Linked DNA regions of Arabidopsis thaliana. The protein of the gene in region 1 interacts with the protein of each later gene in a pairwise test. Each region holds a gene or a part of one and is shown in the gene's direction. Other genes may lie near its edges.

Region 1 (6,131 bases):
CGATTCAGTTTTTGGATTTTGATTTTAGTTTCTAGATTTTAGATTTTAGTTTTAGATTTTTGTTAATATATTTTTGTTTTAAAAACTTCAAAAAATTAGTTTTTAGTTTTTGAGAAAAATAACGTTGATGGAGTAAAAACTAGATTCCCTAAATTTTAGAAAAACTAAAAAACTAAAATCATGAATGGAAAATTACAACAAAATAGTTTTTCAAATTGTAGGGAAACCAAAATTTTAAAATCTTGATTGTTATGAAAATAAGTTTTTGAAAAACAAAATCCAAAAACTCTTACAAAATCTACAAAACATTCAAGACCTTATTCTTCTCAGGTTTATATCTTAAACAAAACAAAATCCAAAATGCTATTTAACAAAACAAACAAACAAGTTCTCTTTTGAAATTAATTATTTATATGATATTAATTTCCAAATAAAACCTGAAAAGTTATCATAATCAGATATACATTTTTAATGTGGAAAAATCACGTAATAACATTATAAATATATATATGTAAACTAATATTGTGAAATCTAAGACTCTGTATATATAGTACTGACTACTGAACAAGTATATAAATTTTATGTTTATAATTATAAAACGAATCATTAAAGATATCAAATCTGAATCTCAAATAACTAACCCAAAATCATGATATCTATATAAATATATTCAAATGACCTTGCACGACGGTCTACACTGAGCTTGTTGACGATGACAGATTCAGAAATTCTGATTATTAGTTTAGAAAAAAAAAACTATAGTATTATTATTAACTATTTTAAATTTTTAAGAAAAAGGCAAAATAAATGACGAGTTTAAGACTTTGGTAGTTAGCTCCGGTTTCAATGAATGGTCCAAGTTGGAGAGATTAGGTTCTTTTTCTTCCCTATGTGGGTCCCATTCTTCCTTGTGTGGGTCCCACTCTCTTTAACGTTTCTTCACCGTCCTTTAGTGCCACCGTTATGCCGTGCCGTCAACTCCGTTGACTTCAGGACAACGCTGCTCGTCTTTTACTGAGTCTCACTCACGTCGTCTTTCTCCGTCAACTTTCTTACTAACGGCCACTTAACGGAAATCCGTCACTGTTAACAATTAAATTAATTCCGCTCGACATTTATCGCCGATTTACACGTCACTTTTTTCTATCTTACCCTGGTTATTTAACACGTGTACATTTATGACGCTATATATCGAGGAATTTATCCATCTCAAGGCATTTTCTCAATTATATTCTGGCTGCAAGTATCCAAATTTTATACCAGTTCTAAACAAAATTAGAAAGAAAACAAAATAACAATAAAGACATACTTATAATATTGAGATCAAATCTGACATTTAAGAACCACTCAAGATCTTCCTATTTTAAAAGGCAAAAGAAAGAGTCAGACTGATACTTATCATAAATAATTTTCAACATATATATCAAATGTTTGAGCACATAAAATATAAATATCAAATATAAATTTTAAATGCAACGCTGTAAATTTTCGTTTTATGTATGTCATAAGAATTGATTAGATAAAATTGGCATTTTCGCATAATTTACGTAATTAGTATAAACTAAATCATTATGCAATTTCGGAAATTACCAACCTTCTAATATAATATTCCCAACAGTTGCTTGGTCATTTATTTGTATGTGTAACATTTGACAAAAGAGTGATTTCTCGTTGAAAATGGAAACCTTTAGCTAAGACTTTACACAACTTATCCTCATAAATTTAGTCTTTATATAAAGGGACTCTCTTTTTTTTCTTTTTCTTCTCTCTATCTCTATCTATCTCTCTTTGTCTGCAAATGGAAGAACATATTCAAGATCGCCGTGAAATTGCGTTCTTACACTCAGGAGAATTTCTCCACGGAGATTCTGACTCAAAGGATCATCAACCGAACGAGTCTCCGGTGGAACGTCATCACGAGTCGTCTATCAAAGAAGTTGATTTCTTCGCTGCTAAAAGTCAGCCGTTTGATCTTGGTCATGTGAGAACAACGACGATCGTTGGATCATCTGGTTTTAATGTAAGTTTTTAAATTATAGATATGAATACAAATATATGTTTGGACGTTATAACTTAATTACATAAAATTCATGGCATAATAGGATGGATTAGGTTTGGTAAATTCATGTCATGGAACATCAAGCAATGATGGCGATGACAAAACCAAAACTCAAGTAAGTATTTCTAAATTGTTATTTTTTCTCTTTGATAGAATTTCAGAGTATCCTGTGGTAACATAATTTCAGTGTTTGTATTAAGAATAATTCACTTATATACAAACTATTTGTATTTGTTACTTAAAAAAAAAACTATTTGTATTTGTCAACAAAATAATCGGATGGTAATTTTTGTTGTGTGGACACACACACACACTTGATTACCCGATCATGTGAGTTTATCTAAATGCGCATATTCATTTATGTATATACACATATTTAATTCTTTTCTTTTTTGTAATCTTTAATTTAGTTCCGTATATAAAACTGTAGGTTGTTTTTAATGAAAAAAAAAATTGTTTGATTTATACTTTTATAGTTACGGTTATGATTATTAAACAATTTGCAGATTAGTAGACTGAAGTTGGAGCTAGAGAGGCTTCACGAGGAGAATCACAAACTGAAGCATTTATTAGATGAGGTCAGTGAGAGTTACAACGACCTCCAAAGAAGAGTTTTGTTAGCAAGACAAACACAAGTGGAAGGTCTTCATCATAAACAACATGAGGTACTTGATAAAATCATAAAAATGATAATAAAATATATATCAACATTTCGGTTTATTAAAAAATAAATTGTATATTTGTCTTTTTTATGTGGCACCGAGATTAGCTTAGGTTTTAGTGTTCGATTTATCTGGTTTTGAAAATTTAAAGTGATCTATTAGTTTTGTTTTTCTCGAAAGCAATTAAAATTTTAAAACTATGTGTAATATGCGTAAATAATGGATGTAGTTTAGTTATGTAATGAATTCATAATTTTCATCTTAAATGCCCAGATTGAAAGTCATAAGACGAATAAATACGTGCAGCTTTTATTTGATAAAATATGAAGAAGATGAAATAAATAGCTAGCCAATGACTTGGTCAAGAAAAAAATGTTTCATAACTTAATATTAAATGGAAAATCAAATTTCGGACTAAGATATTTCAAACTAGAAAAAACCTTTTGTTTTCAGAAGCTACAAACGATAAGTTATTTGTTTATAGTTAGGTATGTTCCTGTATATGCATCATATTTTGTTTGTCCACAATCTGTAGATGCATCATATATGAGTCTTTGCCTTAGAATTTTAATAGTTTAATACGTCCATATGTGAATGCATATGTGGTAGGTTATCAAATGTCTATTATTATGTGTGTGTTTATATTTATTATCTTGTCTTTGGGTCTATCGGTACTATATATATTATGAGGTTACTTGATCAAATTAATTACCGATACTACGGTATGATTTTGGGTAAATTTCAACGTCTTTTTCTTTCAATTTTCTTATAAAACTGACACATCTTTCTTGCAAATTTTTGTTTGGCAAAAAGGATGTACCTCAAGCTGGTTCCTCACAAGCTCTAGAGAACAGAAGACCAAAGGATATGAACCATGAAACTCCGGCCACCACCTTGAAACGACGGTCTCCAGACGACGTGGATGGTCGTGATATGCACCGAGGATCACCAAAAACTCCTCGAATAGACCAAAACAAGAGTACTAATCATGAAGAACAACAAAACCCTCATGATCAATTACCCTATAGAAAAGCTAGGGTTTCCGTTAGAGCTAGATCTGATGCCACTACGGTAACTTTCTATAAGTTACTAATTTTTTTGATTCGTTTAACCTTACATATATATATGAGTTATGAAAATTGAATCAATATTAATATATAATATAGGTAAATGACGGATGTCAATGGAGAAAATACGGTCAGAAAATGGCGAAAGGGAATCCATGTCCTCGCGCTTATTATCGTTGCACCATGGCCGTTGGATGTCCTGTCCGTAAACAGGTTAGTATAACTATATATATGAGAAAATGTTATCATAATTATAGAAAAAAAAATTTGGTATTAGAATTTTGTATTGATTAACGTATATAGTATTGGTTCTTTTCGTCAACATGTAGCTTTGAATATAAAAATTGACATAATAACAACACTAATATAACCGATTATATTACGTATCCTTTAGAAGTATTGATTTAGAGCAATACCATAAAACCTTATTAAAGTCCTTCATACAACAGATTTAGAAAGTTTTAAGAAGAGTATAGAAAATAATTCTAAATTTAGAAAGGCTTTACTAAATCCCTTTCTAACAAAATCTTTTACTTATGAAAAACCAAAACTAGAATGCGACATATTTATTCTTAAAGAAAACTTTATTGTTTTACGTAACAAAATGATTTAAAATGTTTATTTGAATGTAAATAGGTCCAACGATGCGCGGAGGATACAACTATCTTGACAACAACGTACGAAGGAAACCATAACCATCCTCTTCCCCCGTCAGCCACAGCCATGGCTGCAACCACCTCCGCCGCAGCAGCCATGCTCTTATCAGGCTCCTCCTCCAGCAACCTCCACCAAACACTCTCTAGCCCCTCCGCCACGTCATCATCATCCTTCTACCATAACTTCCCATACACCTCCACAATCGCAACACTCTCTGCCTCAGCTCCTTTCCCCACCATAACCTTAGACCTCACCAACCCACCTCGACCGCTACAACCGCCACCGCAGTTTCTAAGCCAGTATGGTCCCGCCGCGTTTTTACCAAACGCTAATCAAATTAGGTCTATGAATAATAATAACCAGCAGTTATTAATACCTAATTTGTTTGGCCCACAAGCCCCACCACGTGAAATGGTCGATTCAGTTAGGGCTGCGATTGCGATGGATCCGAACTTCACGGCGGCACTTGCGGCCGCGATCTCAAACATTATCGGAGGAGGTAATAACGACAACAATAATAATACTGATATTAATGATAACAAGGTTGATGCAAAAAGTGGAGGGAGTAGTAACGGAGATTCGCCACAGCTTCCTCAGTCTTGCACCACTTTCTCTACAAACTAATTTTACTACCATTATTATATGTTATCTTATTATATATTACACACACATATTATACATTATGCGTATCTTAAGTTTTTTTTTGGTGTACATTATATATGAATGATATGGAGATCACTGAGAGAGAGAGAGAGCTATTATAGGTTTTTTTTTTACAGGTTTACACGATTTTGGCTATCGTTTTTTTTTCTTCTATGTTAAGAACGAGGGGTGTAGGTTTTATTTTTCCTACTTCTTATGAATCATACTCTGTATATGTATACATCTTAAATATATATTATGTTAAAAAAGAACATGCATGCCTGTATGATATATTAATATATTACAATGTAACTATATAATATGACTATATGAGTAACATTTTTTGTTATATCTACTGAATAAGATATCATGAGAGGTATCAAATATAACAACGACAAGGATCAGTACTGTATTAGATTTATTGTTCGTTTCGCAGTTGTCAAAGACCATAACAATGATTGTTCGATTTTGTAGTTGTTAGCTCAATTATTATATATATATATATATATATATATATATATATATATATATATATATATATATATATATATATATGAAACAATTGTAGTAACTAAGCTGATTTCTTTTAGTATTTTAAATTTTAATTAGCGATGAATCAGTGAAATTTGTTATTGTCAACCACAACTAAATCGGTATGAGTATAACCTACCACAAGTTACTGTCAATGATTACTAAATATTTATAATTTAGTTGTTGATAGTTGTTGCCAATGATTACAAAGCGTACACGATATTGTGTATATGAACAAAATACAAAGAAACTAAAGAACAACAAGGTCGCTGATATATACCAAATCGTCGGTTTAACCGGCTCTGCCAGTGTATATTTTCCTAGTGACAATTGTCACATATGTAAAATGTGTTAAATAAAACTTGAGAAAGGAGGCCACTTTAACACAACTACTTCAACCTTTAACATCTAAAATAGAAAACGTGGCCCATAAAATGCAAAGGAGGCCGAATTAGGCCCAATAAACATAAATGGGCCAATTTAAATTAGTCACGTTAAAAGAGCTCAAGAATC
Region 2 (6,087 bases), about 17 Mb from region 1:
AATTTGGTAAAGAAATAGGTCATCTGTGAAACCTATTACTCTTTGGTAACTAGCTCTTATGGATTACAGATTCTATACATGTGTTAGATATTTGGTTTAGTCATTACAAAACATTTCTTAAGAAATAGGTCTTATATATATACACAGCAAAGATAAACACACACAATTACACAAAACAAATATTGTTAAAGGGGTTTTAAGAACCAAAATAAACAAAGATTGTGATAATTCTAGATTGTTTATGTTTTAGACTTGAAAAATATGGAAAACGTAGACAATAGGCTTGAAACGTAAAAGAAAGAGTGGTATAAACCCGTCGAACTAAAGATAATAATGATTATAATTGGTAAAATCGAAATGATTCGCTGATGATTGACACCTGGCGTGAATGAGACTGAATCTTTTATCTTAAGAGGACGATAATTGGGGATTTGGTCACTTGGAAGTTGGAAGCAACTTTAAGATTCTTTGTTAATAGAAAAAGAGCCAAATCTGAATTTGAGTTTGAGATTCGAGATGTGATTGGTTCGAAGCAGTCCAGCCCACGTGGTCTTAATAGATCTTTAATTATCATGTTATCTATCTGGGGCCCACCTAAATCTTATACATCAACGGTATAAAATCGAACTTGGTTATTAGGGTTTGAGCTTGGTTTAGTTCGGTTTAAAGGACATTTGCTACTTTTAAATCAAATTCAATTGATGGATACATTCGCGCTAGGGGTGGTGATTTATGGCAAGTTTGAGGGTTGGTCAAAGTTAAAGTTTAGACATTCAAAGAAACTAAAATAAACACACAAAAATAGTTAGTAATGAAGGATCAGGTGTACGGATTCTGCGGTGGAGCGTGCGAAGACTTCCATCAATTGGTGTTCTCAGGAGCTGTTCCTGCTTCTCCCACGTGTGCCTGTCACAAATGCATATTACATTTTAGATTGTATATTTGCAATATGCATAAGCTTGAAATATAAGTTACGGTTTATATATATATGGCCTTCTGAGTGAAAATATTCTATATATAAGTGAAAATTTTGTATAGCTCATTTCATTATGATATTGAACGCGAGTTGCTTTGAGTAGAAATCAAGCATTAAGCCATCGAAAGTAACAGACGTTATATAGTTATTTGATATTAAATTTCTTGCCATATTTGGAAACTTACGACAAAACAATTAATATGATGAATCTCCGCAACTCCAAGTCCCTGTCTGACACGTGTACTTGATATCGTTTAAAATCATTTATTAATTGACACAAAAATAATTTATTCATTTGTATTTCTACCGAAAGCCATATGGACTAATATATGTTGTACTAGATTAATACTGTATGTTTTTGTTCAATCCATTCTCTTACTTTTTTGGGTAAATATCTTTTGGACAGATCTAATTAATATAGTATAAGTTTTCCTATGACCATAATAAAGGGCCAGAATATTTTTAATTTTCTTTTAATCACCTCTAAAAGATACTAATTAAATTAAGTAAAGCAGCATATAAAGCAAGAGGGTTTTGTCAGAGAAACACAGTCCTGTGATGCGCCCATTCACTATTTTCACATGACATTTGAAATAAGACTTAAGAATAAATTATAAATAATGTACGGACATGTTAAAAAGGAAATATTATTGATAATGGAAATTTACCTAACTCACACTAAGTTTAATATTATTTCACTCCTTTTTATCTAAACAATTCCATTAAGTTTCCACTATCTCCCGTAATAAACAAACTATAAAAAAGAATCAGTGATTAAAGTTGTATATATGACACACATTTAAGCTATATCTATATATTCTCTTAACCTAGGAACTTTATAAGAACTTCTCTCTATTTCATTGGTTTGATAAAATCATACACACAAATACTAATTTTGGACTAGAAATTTAGTACTTTTCTATGTATTAAATCTACCCAAAAATGTCTCAAACTGAGAGGTGAGTGTGTATGTGTGTGTGTGCATATGCATATATATACTTAGTTTATTCCTCGAATAGATTGTTGACTCTTGGCTCAACCTTCCTCTCTCTCTATTTCTACCTTTCTCTTTCTCCTTATTCGTTCATCTTCATATTCCCTTCCCTTTTGGGCTTGGTAAGATCTACAAAAAAAAAAACCCTAAAAAAGAGAAGAACCAGAGGAGATTCAATTAGAGGATAAAATTGATGGGAAGAGGGAAGATTGTGATCCAAAGGATCGATGATTCAACGAGTAGACAAGTCACTTTCTCCAAACGAAGAAAGGGCCTTATCAAGAAAGCCAAAGAGCTAGCTATTCTCTGTGATGCCGAGGTCGGTCTCATCATCTTCTCTAGCACCGGAAAGCTCTATGACTTTGCAAGCTCCAGGTTCTTCTTTTAAAATTATTCATTCTGAAATCTTTATATCTTCTTGATTTTGTGGATGTACATCTACGGAGATGTTGTGTACCACTGTATGCATATAATTTTATGCTACGGTTTTGTTTATTAGAAGGCTTGGTGATATTCACTGAGATATATGTAGCTGTGGGATCTATTCAAATATAGTGGAATTTTTTCGCATCTGGCGGTCCGTAGAACATGTTACATTAATTTTCCCGTATGTACAATAAGATGTGTCTTGTATAGCCGACAAACAGTTTTCTTACAACAAAGAAAGATTAAAAATGAGGTAGAAGTTTTAAAGAAGAGTAATATTTTTGAAGCTGAAAAAATAATTTGAAGTAGTTTCTTTGCTTCATATTTGGGTGATTATATGTACCCATCATCAGTATGTTTTGAAGTACTTTCCTAACATATGTTTATGTGTATGGACATTGACTTATAACTAACTAAGGCTCATTGTTTGCATTTTCCAAATTTAGATATGTTTCAGAAATAGATGAGAAAACAAGTGTGAATGCCCAAACATCACTATTGGAAAGCTAAAAAAGAATTATAATTGGAGACCACGAGTTAGAAGATTGGTATGTAGAGGACTTAATTTCTCAAATCCAATAAACTGGAAGCTGATTTAGTTTAACCCACTAACAAAATGATCTATTTATACTCGTAAACATAAACATGTTTTTGATATTTATATATAATCATATATATTATTACTAAACGATCAGATTACTCTGTATATTTAACTTTATATCTGCAAAATCGTTATAATTGTCTATTTTCTGAGTAAGTTATTCTTTGTTAAAAGTTTGATTAATATAAAAAAAATATAGAGATAAAAAACTAATTATTAGAAAACATATATAAACATGTAATTCTAAATCATATAATATTTTGATTATATATTTTGAAAATTTATATAATTTCATATTTATCAATTAAAACAACCAAATAAAAGAGTATGGTAATGCGAATTTTTGTTTTTCCCTATTTTCCTTGAGGAATTTTATATTAGCATCAACCTTAAGCATTATTAATTCTTCACGTTTGTCTTTTGATAACATTTCTCATGTATCATAGGGTTTACGAACCTCTTGGTAAATGAAATTACTTAGCATATTTAGTCAAGTTTATATACCATTCTTAAAACTAACTAACACCATGTTATTGTTTGCTTGGATTTAAAATAAAGTGTGCCATGCTAATGCATTACATTTATGTCATTTTGTTTATAGCTTAGAACTGGATTCCTTTAAAGTTCTTGCTTATCTACACCCTAGAAATAACATTTAAGCATTTGTTTTTGTTACTTATTGAAAAAAGAAACTAACATCTACTTACTTTATATATAGTTTATCTAGTTTGTGTAACAAATTCGTATTACTGCTGAGTTCAAGATTATATACATTATGTGAAATGTATGTATGTGTACATATATAAGCGTGTGTAAATAATGTTGCCAATGCAGGAAAGTCTATATTGCACAAATTTCTAGGCTATGAGTTTTTTCTTTACGTATGAAAGCTTTTTAATGGAGTACTTGGAAAAACTTCACGATCGAAAATTAATATCTTTTACGTAATTTACTCTAAGAGATGATATGATATGAGTGAATTATATACCATGAACAAGGTATACTAATATTAAATATTTTGAATAGCATGAAGTCGGTTATTGATAGATACAACAAGAGCAAGATCGAGCAACAACAACTATTGAACCCCGCATCAGAAGTCAAGGTATACATATAGATATAGCGACAACTCTAAAGATATGTGATTATATATTGATTGATGCTTTAGCATGATGTTTGATTTTTGAAATGAGATTTTGGTTTACTGAGCTGTTCAAAGTTTGATGAGTTATTTGTGTTGTGTGTTACAGTTTTGGCAGAGAGAAGCTGCTGTTCTAAGACAAGAACTGCATGCTTTGCAAGAAAATCATCGGTATCGCCTTGAACTTTTATAACATTTTGTATTAAGAATTAGTCTTTGATCAAAATATAGAAGGCATGTAAAGGAAATGAAGAAACTTGTAGTTATGGATTGCGGTATGTTTGCTATGAAGCAGGCAAATGATGGGAGAACAGCTAAATGGTTTAAGTGTTAACGAGCTAAACAGTCTTGAGAATCAAATTGAGATAAGTTTGCGTGGAATTCGTATGAGAAAGGTACATAAATACATATACTCTACCTTCTATTATATGCTTTGGAGTGTATTACTCAAAAGATTGACTATAGAACACAACGGAAATCAATAGAACGATTGCTTTTCCGGATTCACAGGAACAACTGTTGACTCAAGAAATCCAAGAACTAAGCCAAAAGGTCACTATGATGAGATATATATATACACACACTGACACACACAAATATCCCCTACCAAAAGTTACAATTCTAATTTTGGGATTTTTGTTGATCGTGGTGCAGAGGAATCTTATTCATCAGGAAAACCTCGATTTATCTAGGAAAGTACAACGGATTCATCAAGAAAATGTGGAGCTCTACAAGAAGGTAACAAATCATGTTTTACAAAAACTCCATTTTCTTTGGAGTAAGAGCTTCGAAGTGATATGGCTTCGACTTTCAGGCTTATATGGCAAACACAAACGGGTTTACACACCGTGAAGTAGCTGTTGCGGATGATGAATCACACACTCAGATTCGGCTGCAACTAAGCCAGCCTGAACATTCCGATTATGACACTCCACCAAGAGCAAACGAATAACAGAGAGGTAAACTTTTTTAATTGATCTTGATGTTTCACAAACATGCATGCACCATTTAGGCATTTTATATATTTTATGTAACTCGTTAAAAACTTTCACAGATTGAAGTTGGAAGATACCATGATGTTGAAGAACACTCCAAAGGCCTTGGTTTGAATAAGGTTCTTGAACTGGAAACCTCTATACACCAAGCCACGTACGATAAGCAGCATGGTTCTTCTAACATAGTCATATTTTCAATCCTAAATATAATTAAAGCATATATAATTAAAATCCGGTGTTGTTATACTCATCTTGAGTATTAATATTGTACTTGTTTATAACCATAGATTCGTCAATTAATAGAGAAAAATCATATGAATTATTATCCTCAAAACTCTCTCAAATATCAATATTCTTAGATCAATAATTTGTTTAATATATATAACCATGCACTTGGTAATTCTAAAATGTTAAATAAACATTTTCTGTTAAGTTTTTTGTTTTGTTGGTTTTATTTTGTAAATTCACCATAATTCTGTTAATCTTATTCCCCCAAACTAACCGGTTTGGAAACTATATAAATTAAATTGATGTGTGATAACTGAATCGGTTATCGTTGACTGCACTGACCAGAAACCAATAAAGGTTCTGTCTTAAAGGGAAACAAATCATCGTCGTCACCAAATCATCACAATTCACAAAGGTTGGTGTAGACAGGGACCTGAGAGATAACGACAAAGAAACAACAAATATAAAATAAAAATCAGAAGAAAATATAAATAAAAAAAGAGGGAAAAAATTCGAAAATTTGCTGCAACCACCAAAAGCTCAGCCAAAAGCAGAGGCCACAATTCTCTCAAACAAGATAAACCCAATTTTGTTATTTTTGTTCTCTCTTCTCTCTCGTTCATGTTTCAAATCTGTTTCTAGGGTTTCACAAACCAGAGATAGAGAGAGGTTTAGCGAAAAATGGCGATGGCCATGGCTCTTCGAAGGCTTTCTTCTTCAATTGAC

Evidence for each region.
Region 2: the proteins of WRKY47 (region 1) and AGL21 interact in binary tests that used the Arabidopsis thaliana proteins (3 or more experiments, as listed by UniProt).

Annotation. Positions count from the first base shown.
Region 1 is NC_003075.7:743,151-749,281, forward strand, and holds WRKY47 (WRKY family transcription factor), read left to right. Parts: upstream 1-1,653; 5' UTR 1,654-1,798; coding exon 1,799-2,020; intron 2,021-2,102; coding exon 2,103-2,174; intron 2,175-2,565; coding exon 2,566-2,724; intron 2,725-3,534; coding exon 3,535-3,792; intron 3,793-3,887; coding exon 3,888-4,001; intron 4,002-4,424; coding exon 4,425-5,069; 3' UTR 5,070-5,404; downstream 5,405-6,131. UniProt on the Arabidopsis thaliana protein: Transcription factor. Interacts specifically with the W box (5'-(T)TGAC[CT]-3'), a frequently occurring elicitor-responsive cis-acting element.
Region 2 is NC_003075.7:17,834,698-17,840,784, reverse strand, and holds AGL21 (AGAMOUS-like 21), read left to right. Parts: upstream 1-1,815; 5' UTR 1,816-2,163; coding exon 2,164-2,345; intron 2,346-3,200; exon of another isoform or gene 3,201-4,023; coding exon 4,024-4,102; intron 4,103-4,247; coding exon 4,248-4,309; intron 4,310-4,433; coding exon 4,434-4,533; intron 4,534-4,623; coding exon of another isoform or gene 4,624-4,648; coding exon 4,649-4,690; intron 4,691-4,792; coding exon 4,793-4,876; intron 4,877-4,952; coding exon 4,953-5,090; 3' UTR 5,091-5,097; intron 5,098-5,192; 3' UTR 5,193-5,568; downstream 5,569-6,087. Other genes in the region: SHM1 (serine transhydroxymethyltransferase 1), read left to right, coding at 6,043-6,087. UniProt on the Arabidopsis thaliana protein: Probable transcription factor.